Drosophila melanogaster: one gene and its partner. The protein of the gene in region 1 interacts with the protein of each later gene in a pairwise test. Each region holds a gene or a part of one and is shown in the gene's direction. Other genes may lie near its edges. The genes, in order: CG13742 and PHDP.

Region 1 (5,754 bases):
TTTATAAAAGTATATTTAAACATCACGCTTTATCTTTCTTGACATCTGCTCTGCCCTTTTGGGCAACTGGTTTTTCTTTGTTAAGCCTTTTCAGTGGCTTGGTTGGGGTATCTTCTTGGGTGGCTCTACTTCGTCCTTTTCCCTTCTTCTCAAACCTCGCACTGTCTACAGATTTAAAACGCTCGTCCTGTAGGAGAGCTTTGCCCTCTTCGCTGGCTGCCGGCTCTGCGTGCTGCAGTTTTCTCTTTCGGCGTATTTCCCTTAGTTTATCCTTCTGTTTTTTACGATACCTGTGGATGGGATACAAAAATTGTTATAAAATACAACGAATATGCGTATTTTCCACTGCTTACAAAGCTTCCATTTGGTCGGGGTCCTTCCCCTCCATAATCCACGTCTTTCGCCTATAGTTTTGCGCTCGCTCGTCGAAATCGTTATTATCTAATTGCATCTCTGATTCACGGCGCGTGACATTTACTTGCATAAAGATTCTCTCCACCATGCGCTCTAATTTATATAATATATATATTAAAGATAGTTATTTTGTGTGCCACTAATTCCAACAAAACTTACGATCGATGGGATGCTCTGTAAGTTTGGTGTTGATCTCCTCCTCAATGGCGGCCAAAAGCTCTAGATCGCGTGGAAAGCGGAATATGGAGATGGACATGCCCTTGCGCCCCGCTCTTGCTGTTCTGCCTACGCGATGGATGTACTCCTTTGGTGTCCGGGGAAGCATGTGATTCATAACCAGCTCGACGCTGGGTATATCCAGACCTCTGGCGGCCACATCCGTAGCGATCAGTGTACGTATTTGGTTGGACTTGAAGCGACTTAGAGCAGCTACGCGCTCCTTTTGCCGCATGAAACCATGCAAGCAAACATTATCGATTTCCATGTTCTTCAGTGTCATCGAGAGAAGCTGACAGTACCTAAAATGATTCGTTATTAAATCCTTAGAATTTACTTCCTATTATTGTGCAACTAACTTTTTTGTGTTGGTGAAGATCATGACATTAGCGTTTTCGTTCTCCTCGCGATACTTTCTTAGTGCCTCTATTAAGACCATGTCGCGATCGTAGTCGGCGCACAGCAGATAACGCTGGTCCAGAGTCTCTACAGTGGCCACGTCTGAGTCCTGCGACCATTCAAAACACTACATTCGGATTAAGATATCTATTAGTACCATTCAACAGGGTATTCATAAAACTTACATCGCTGGCAATGGGAAATATGCTGGACTCCTTTATGAAGTCCTTCATGGTTGCGGAAAAGAAAAGGTTTTGCCTTGTCTTTGGCAAACAGCGCTCAATGATGGATAGGCTCTCGTCAAAGTCTCCGTTCAGCATGCGATCCGCTTCGTCAACAACCAAATACTTCAGATTGTCGAAGGAGAAGGTGTCGCAGCCGGTTAGGTGATCCGCGAGACGGCCGGGCATGGCCACCACGATGTGCGGTCGCTGCATAAGCTTCTGGCTCTCGACCATTTGGTCTGTGCCGCCAGAGACAACACATACGCGCACCCCCATCGCCTGTCCAGCCACAAGAAACTGCTCGGAGATTTGATAGGCCAACTCGTGCGTGGGCGTCAGCACCAGGGCGAAGTGGCTCACTGGCTCTTCGCTCAGCCGCTCCAGAATGGGCAGGGCAAAGGCGAAGGTCTTGCCCGAGCCCGTCTTGGCAGCTCCAATGCAATCCTGGCCCGCCAATATCGCTGGGATGCATTTCTGTTGGATTGGAGTTGCTCCCTTCAGGCCTGAAAGCGCAATGGTTTAATTACTTGGGTAAACCCGTGGACGGCTTGACATTACCCAACTTGGTCAGCTGCTTAACCAACCATGGACGTAGGCCCAGGATCTGAAAGGGATTGGCCTCCTTTCGTTGCATTTCGGTAAATAAAAATACAACGAAATAAAAAAGGAAAACAACGTGCGCTGTATTAGTGATGGAAGTATTGTCTTCTGTATCGGTATATAACTATCGATACGTTTTTAATTTTTGCTCCGTGTGAGTGGTTAGCTGTATTTAGTACGCATTTTTAATTTAAATTCAATTAAATTTTTTATTTACTTCAACCGCAGAATTATTGGCGAGTAATAAGAAAAAATTCACTATAAAATTAATAATACATTTTATAATTAATCGACAATAGTCACGCTCTAGACAGGTAAGATTCCGCATCTATGGGCGCGATCATTTTGTAAACACACTGAATATTTCGATTTAGACTCAATGCAAAGATGTCCGAAAACCATGATAGCCTGGGTGCATCTGTAGCCTACAGTGAGCTGGTGGCTATAGACCAGAAGGACATCATCCTGATGATAGACTTTGATTCGGCGGTTTCCATTTGCTCAGCATGTATCGCAAATAAATCCGCGAATCCTGTGGATGTCTTGACATTGTGGTTCACCAAACTATTAGGAGCATACATCGACGATTCCGGGTATTGTGTACTAGCAGCTCGGGAAATGTGCAAGTGGTTCACGATCGTAGGTAATTCTTACACAATGCGCTTCAGTCTATTAACTTTAAATTCGTCCTCAGGAAGCAGAAACTGGCAATGAAGTCCACAGCGGTCATATAAAACTCATGTCTGTGGCACAAGAATTTGTATCCACATTCAGGGATCGATTGCTGGAAGCAGGCGAACGTTTGGTTCAAATCCTTGCCTATCTTGTCTTTACAATTATCGACTTCTGTTTAATGTGGTAAGAGGGGCTTGGATAAAACCTATATGTAAAATATTTCTATATATTTTTGCTTACATCATTCAGCGATAAGAGTCATCGCCAGATTGTTGCGGATCTTCAACTCGAAACGCTTTCTTTAATAAAGGATTCTATCATTAATTTGACAGAAGTCCACCCTCGCCTTGCGACCTGTAAGTTAGGAATACTAACGAATTGATACACCCAAAAATTTGAGTATTATCTGAAAGTTGTTGTAGACTAATTATAGACTTTATATTAAACAATTGTCAGTGATGCAAAAGATAATGGAAATCGCAGATACCGAAGGAACACGCACTGGTGATCTGCAGTTATCTGTACAGACAGGCGAGACGTTGGCTCATATTTGCTTGCACTTCATGACAACCTGGCATGCTAATCCTACAGACGAAAAACTGCCCAATTGGCTTAGGGAAACTGTTTTTCATCTATGTGATGTGGTTACCGTTCACTTGAATAGTACTTTTGACATCGTTCGTATAACAAAGCTTACGATTTGTAAAAGAGTTTATTTAACAAGACATTTTTTTTAGGACAATCGTATTGTTCCTGCGGAAAAGTTAGAGGAGCTTGTAGATGGTATCAGGACCTACATTGTATTGTTATATCATATTCTTCAAAAAGGTGTGGTGTATGTTGATGATGATGTAGCTGTTTGTCTGATGGACTTAATAATGTGTGAACGAACGTAAGTTTGAAAAATGAAATGGTTATTTGCAATAATTGTATTTTCTTTTAGGAGGCCATCACATTACTCTGACATCGAGAAGCAACAGCTAATTTCTGTGTTAGTACGACCACATGTACTAGATATTTTAGAGCTGCTTTACAAGTTCCAAAAATGTCAAGAAGTAAGATGAAATTCAGAAATCGCTTGCAAATAAATGTCTTCGGATAGACTTTGATTGAAAACTATTCATTCATACAATACATCATCAGATTTTGTTAATGTTACTAAAATTTGTCCTTTTAGTATTTAATATCCAGTGTCCTTGGTACACCAAAATTTGACTACTTCGACGCTTGCATGGATTTTATTAATGCTGTGTCTACAGACGATGCGGATGTGCTCCCATCTACTTGCCGAACATTACAACAAACTTTTGAATATTTGTTTAAAGGTAAGGTGTCGATTCGATCATATTTATTTCTTACTACTTACTGAGCCCACAGATGCTAAAAATTTTGTTCACGGCGAACGCTATAATCAAGTATTGGATGCGTTTGGTTGTCTTTTGTATTTAGTGGGTAACATAGAACTACATAGGTATTTCTGTGCCGGCATATTTCAAAAGGATTTTATTACATCGCAAGTGTGTGCGGATATTCTCATGCTGTGCTTTCGGTTAGTAATTATAAATCATACATTTTAAAATTTATTTCACTATTCTATGTTTTTAGGCTAAAAGAGGCCAACAAATGCTGGACAGATCATGCCATAAAAGAGGCTATGGCTCACTGGCATAAGTGCAATAATTCTTACGCCATGTTTTCCACAAATCCAAGCCAATTGCATGTACAACGATTCCTTAGGTACTTCCACTGCTTGGGAAAGCAGGAACTTCCTGTCATAAGCATTCAAAACTTCCGGCACCTGTCTGTCGTCGCAAAATCAGATGGCCACGTGGGAATGAAGATATTGAAGCGCTTAGAACTCATCTCCACCTCAGCGCCCACAAAAGTTGAGTTGTACTATGAAGTGGTAAGCAAGTAGAAGTACACTTATAAAATGGATATACATACCTTGATTTTTTATACCCAAAGGTTGCTCTACTGGAACTTTTGGTGCACCACGATCAAATCGACTGTTCCCATTGGTTTCAGCGGACATCGGAAATGGCCAATAAACTTTTAGGCATTGACAAGAGCATTAGCTTTGCTAATGTTTACTTCAAACTACTAGCGCGTGCGAATGGATCCACCAAATTACTTATACTTAGGGGACTGCCTCCAAATGCTGGATGCACAAACTGGTATCGCGAGAAATTCCTCGACTCCTGCAAAGTCAGCGATGACGCCCAACTAAGAGCATTTAGTGCCCGCCATGCAATATACCCATTGTTTAAGGCATTGCATGTCGAACCCGGAACTGTTGTCGACGGTTCATTTGATCTCAGTAAATCAAGCTACATTCGCCATGGAGATCATAAATGTCCGGTCTCTAGTCTAAAACGTCGACGGAGTGAATTGGCGCCTAAAGAAATCCTTCGTAATATATATGAGGCTTCTCTTCAACTGACCCAGTGCACCGCGAATTTCGATGCTGCCGACTGGGAATTGCTCAAGAAGGTAATGGCCAATTTGAGTGGAATTGTACCCTAGCTCCCTGCTCTATGCTTTTCGTATCGCTCACTTACCTAAATCAATTAATTACCACCTGTGTACTCATTTTGAATAAGAATCCCTAATTAAGATGTTGTGCGATAAGGCGGTTAAAAATAACGTGTAAATAAAGACAGTTTACCTGCAAGCGAAGCGGATGTAAAGCTAACGAAACTGCCTGCGAAATAGGATCGAAAGGCTACCCTGGTGATGTCTGATCGTCGGGATGGTGCCATTGCACTCAGCGAAGCGATGACAATGCCCAGGGATCCGGGATTGGCAAACCCACAAAGGGCAAAAGTGGCTATGGCAGCGCTCCGCGGCTATAAGAATACTAGTTTTAAAATAATCTATAAGAATAGAATATGCAGATGGGTACTCACATCAACCTTTTTATCGCTAACCAATATGCCCAGGTTTCTATAAGCCACAAACTCGTTTATGAACGACTTTTGGGCCACCACCAGGCCAATTGCTTGACAATCGTGCCACGGCACGCCCATCACGAAGACAATCGGGATAAAGATCTGGGAGAGAATGTAGAGTAGGGTGATGTTATGCAGTCCAATTAGCTCGAAAATCCACTCCGTTACAGCGTCTAGGAAGAACACAATGGCTAGGAAGGCGATGATATTCGAGACGATTCCGAGCACAATCAACAAGGCTGCTGCAGCTCCCGAGGCGGCCGCATCCAAAATAG
Region 2 (3,846 bases), about 15 Mb from region 1:
GTAAGTGCAACACACACCTATGCATGATAAACCCTTTTTCTTTACTTTATGTTTTCCAAACTAACGTTAGTTGTTTTCAGAATGACTCAATAGAACCTGATACTTGTTCGATGCATGTAGTTCCAGGCTCATTTGCACCCACAACTAGGTTGAAACCTACTTAAACTAGCTTCCCATTTAGATGCTCTATAACTAAATAATATGTTGCTGTTTTTACAGGATTTTCGGGGTGGGTTTGAGATCGGGTTAAGCAAACAATGCAGGTGGGTTTCGTTCAGGTCGATCACCTCCAACATCTGGTTACTATACTATTTATTAAATGTAAAATGAGTTCATATCTTTGCGTTTGATACAATTACAATTGGAAAGGTTATAATTTTACACATATATTGGATATATTTTAACCTAAAATGTAACACAGTAACTTATTCCAAAACTTTCGGAATGTCGTAATGTTGTATTATTATGATTGCCATAACAATTCTCCGATTTACATAGACTTGCGATTTAAGTAATGATTACTACAAAGTAGAGTTTCTTTTTGCACGAGTGTTAGTTTGAGCATGATGTGCATCTATTAGGTGGCTTTGTTTTCCTAGAGACTTAGTCGTTCCAATTCGTTGATTAAGAAAAGAAAAGGCTCACTCTACCATGCAAATGTGTAAAATCCACAAAGGCAACTAAGACCATTTTTCAACTGGAAAAAGAGGCACATTCTAAACTTTTACCTCGTATGTTTGACTAAACTGATCCCAATGAAATTGTTTCCGAAGATAGATACATTGAATTTGGAACTGTTTTTCTTTGAAAATTTAACTAAATGGCTTCAGCACATGGAACAACCAGCCTATCCTATTAGCAATCCAGCATTAGGGTGTCCAAAAAAAAAAGGACTTCAGCGCAGAGTAAATAAAAATTAGGCAGGACTCTGATTAGCAGGAATTAACTAATCGAAATAATCCGCAGAGCAAATAATTGTTTCCGAAAACAGGGGTTGTATCCTGCCAGTGACTTTAAACAATGTTTCAATCAGCCCAATGTTATAAACAAGAAAAGATAGTAAGGTGTCTCTTATCCATTGTGTGCGGTACAACACCATTTGTTTTATCAAGTTGGCGAAGTGCTGTACTCGTGATGACGGACTGTCCGATACCCTTTCCATTTCATATATGAAGTTTAAATATATTTTATAATTTATGTTACTTTGGCTGTTCCTTAAGAGTTATTGCAACGTAAAGAGGATTTTCATTTTTCTTACTTTTTATATTATCCCAGAGAAGCATTTCCTTTAATCGCTCAGACAGGACATCCCAGCGTCATGGTTGCCCGATAAGCCAATTTAATCTTCTGAGTGTTGCTTTTTGAGGCCTGTGAAAATTGGTGCACTCAAAGAAAAGTTCGCTTAAAGATGGAGCTTGGAAAATATTCAGATTTTGAAGAAATATTCATTGAAAAGAAGATTTCTGAGTGAAGATTAGATCAGAGCCAACAGACAGCGATGCAATCAATGAAATTAAAACCAAAACCAATTCTTTAGACATGCTGTGACAAGTCAATTGGGGAAATGCGGTGAATTTTCGCGCAGTGCACGACACGCGCCGGAAAGTCAGATTTCCACCCCTATGTCGAGTGGAGCTCGTTAGGACCGCCTCCAAACGCGGAAACGAATGAAATTTTCCGTCCCGCTCTCCCGAGACAAGTGCAGCATCCTTGTTCGTCCAACGTGGATGTCCTGTAGTTGATACAATCGTAATCGAAGCTTATTTATTCAAGGGCAGTTAAAAGTGTGTGCGGCCGCGGAGCTACTATAACTATGTGTTTTATGGCCGAATGACTCATTAGCGGGCTGTAAAATTTCAATCGAGTGCCGTGTGTGAATTTACCTGCAGATGCGATGGAATTTTCACTGCTCAACAAGGCGAACTTCGACAAGGATTGTTTGTACACCGCGAACTCGGAGTTCTACAACAGCGGCGCCAATGGAGGAGGACTCTCCGTGGCCAATCACATAAATCACTACAACCTCATGATTGACTCCAGTTACAAGCTCTGCGCCAACGAGTCCGCAATCCGGGGTTCCCTCAACCAGGAGTCGAGCTTATTGTTCTCCAAAATCACCACTGTCTCCGAGTTTTACCCGGCCACCCATAACATTGGCTCCTACAACACGGGTAAGTACAGTGGCCATCAGTTCCACCTGCAGCCAGTGCACCTGGATGGATCGATTATGGATTGTAATCTTGAACCAACTCTCACCTCGCCATAGACTTCCATTTGAAGTCCTATGGAGACGACGGCTTGAGCCTGACCGACAAATCAAAACAGAGGCGCATTCGCACCACTTTCACGTCCAACCAGCTGAACGAGCTGGAGAAGATCTTCCTGGAAACCCACTACCCAGATATCTACACCAGGGAAGAGATCGCATCCAAGCTGCACTTGACGGAAGCTCGAGTTCAGGTGAGGAAAACTAATGAGATTGAATTGCTGGTTAAGTGAGTGGGTAGTTTAGGATACACATATTTCAATAATTAACATATAACAAATAATACTTACATAATATAATATAACTATTGAAAAGAACTCGATCTGCTGTTGATAGGTTCAAATATTATAGGTTTCTCGAAGCCAGCTTACAATCGAAACGAATTTAGTCATATCCTGTTGAAGGATACAAAACGACTTAGTAATCGAAATTAAAAAAAAAAAAAACCATTGTGTGTTTTAGGTCTGGTTCCAGAACAGAAGAGCCAAGTTTCGCAAGCAGGAGAGGCATGCCATTTACATAATGAAGGACAAGTCGAGCAAATTGGATGGCCGGAAGAATCCTGTAGCAGGATCGAAATACCTGGGCCCATCTCTCAAGGGACCCCAGAATGGCCATGGCCGTCAAATGAAATGCTTATACGATCAAATATAGAATCCACTAATATCTATGTAAATATTAGTATACATTTTGATGAATGCAGTTATTTTGATATTATTTTTACTGACTATTTGGAGCGAATTGCGTTAAATAAATAAGATCTGTGTAACACTTTGCTTGTTTTCATATCATCCGGGACAACTGGCTTAGCACCCTTTTGAGGGCTCAGCCGGCTAAGCCTGTGGGAAGAAAAACAAGGACTTGAATGGGGGTTGAAGGGTCACCATCTACAAGTACCAAACCTCACGCCCTTCAGGGGTAAATTGTCATCCCATTATCGGGTGGAAAAAGTGGATTGGATCGGCATTAGGGCGTGTAATCAGTTGATGGTGGCGATTCGGTGCGCTCAATATAGCAATTGTTGTGGAGTGCCCACCGCAGGGATTGGCGGTGAATACCTTTCAGATCTAATTAACAAGATCAAGATTGAATTGCAGTTTATTGAAATCATATGTGCCCAGATGTATAACTTAATATTGCAATTTATAAGTAGTGCCCGCCTTTCAACACCCTCGAATGATTTTAATAAACTGTGAAATCGTTGTTCATTTTACATTTTTCTACACTTCATTAGTGAAACGTATATACAGATATTAAATATATACATAAATATACAAATATCATTTAGCCTTTTAACTATATATAAAACGTACTCTTCCGTTTTTTAAATAGTTTTGTTGCAATTTGATTTGATTATTTTATGTGTTTTTTCATTTAGAATAAAAGAATTCAAATTAATTATTTTATTCAAATATTCCAAGGACATTTTCAATTCCATCGTTCCCGGAAAAAGCAACATATTATAAGTCGAAATACCCTCAATGCTTTCGAATACGAAAATACCGCTATCTGCGGTATTAACTGGCGAACGCGCTAGGGATTTTGTTGCTCTTTTGGCCAGCTGCATGTTATTTGTTAAT

Evidence for each region.
Region 2: the proteins of CG13742 (region 1) and PHDP interact in a two-hybrid assay, tested with the Drosophila melanogaster proteins (one large-scale study listed by BioGRID).

Annotation. Positions count from the first base shown.
Region 1 is NT_033778.4:9,084,044-9,089,797, reverse strand, and holds CG13742 (uncharacterized protein), read left to right. Parts: upstream 1-2,165; 5' UTR 2,166-2,167; intron 2,168-2,227; 5' UTR 2,228-2,240; coding exon 2,241-2,492; intron 2,493-2,547; coding exon 2,548-2,711; intron 2,712-2,777; coding exon 2,778-2,884; intron 2,885-2,984; coding exon 2,985-3,205; intron 3,206-3,265; coding exon 3,266-3,420; intron 3,421-3,471; coding exon 3,472-3,583; intron 3,584-3,705; coding exon 3,706-3,853; intron 3,854-3,905; coding exon 3,906-4,077; intron 4,078-4,080; exon of another isoform or gene 4,081-4,133; coding exon 4,134-4,434; intron 4,435-4,475; exon of another isoform or gene 4,476-4,496; coding exon 4,497-5,054; 3' UTR 5,055-5,098; coding exon of another isoform or gene 5,099-5,136; 3' UTR 5,137-5,196; downstream 5,197-5,754. Other genes in the region: Dbp45A (DEAD box protein 45A), read right to left, coding at 23-290, 354-507, 574-932, 990-1,156, 1,215-1,756, 1,812-1,887; CNT1 (concentrative nucleoside transporter 1), read right to left, coding at 5,099-5,136, 5,197-5,377, 5,438-5,754.
Region 2 is NT_033778.4:23,882,361-23,886,206, reverse strand, and holds PHDP (putative homeodomain protein), read left to right. Parts: upstream 1-1,766; 5' UTR 1,767-1,894; coding exon 1,895-2,171; intron 2,172-2,266; coding exon 2,267-2,460; intron 2,461-2,728; coding exon 2,729-2,920; 3' UTR 2,921-3,071; downstream 3,072-3,846.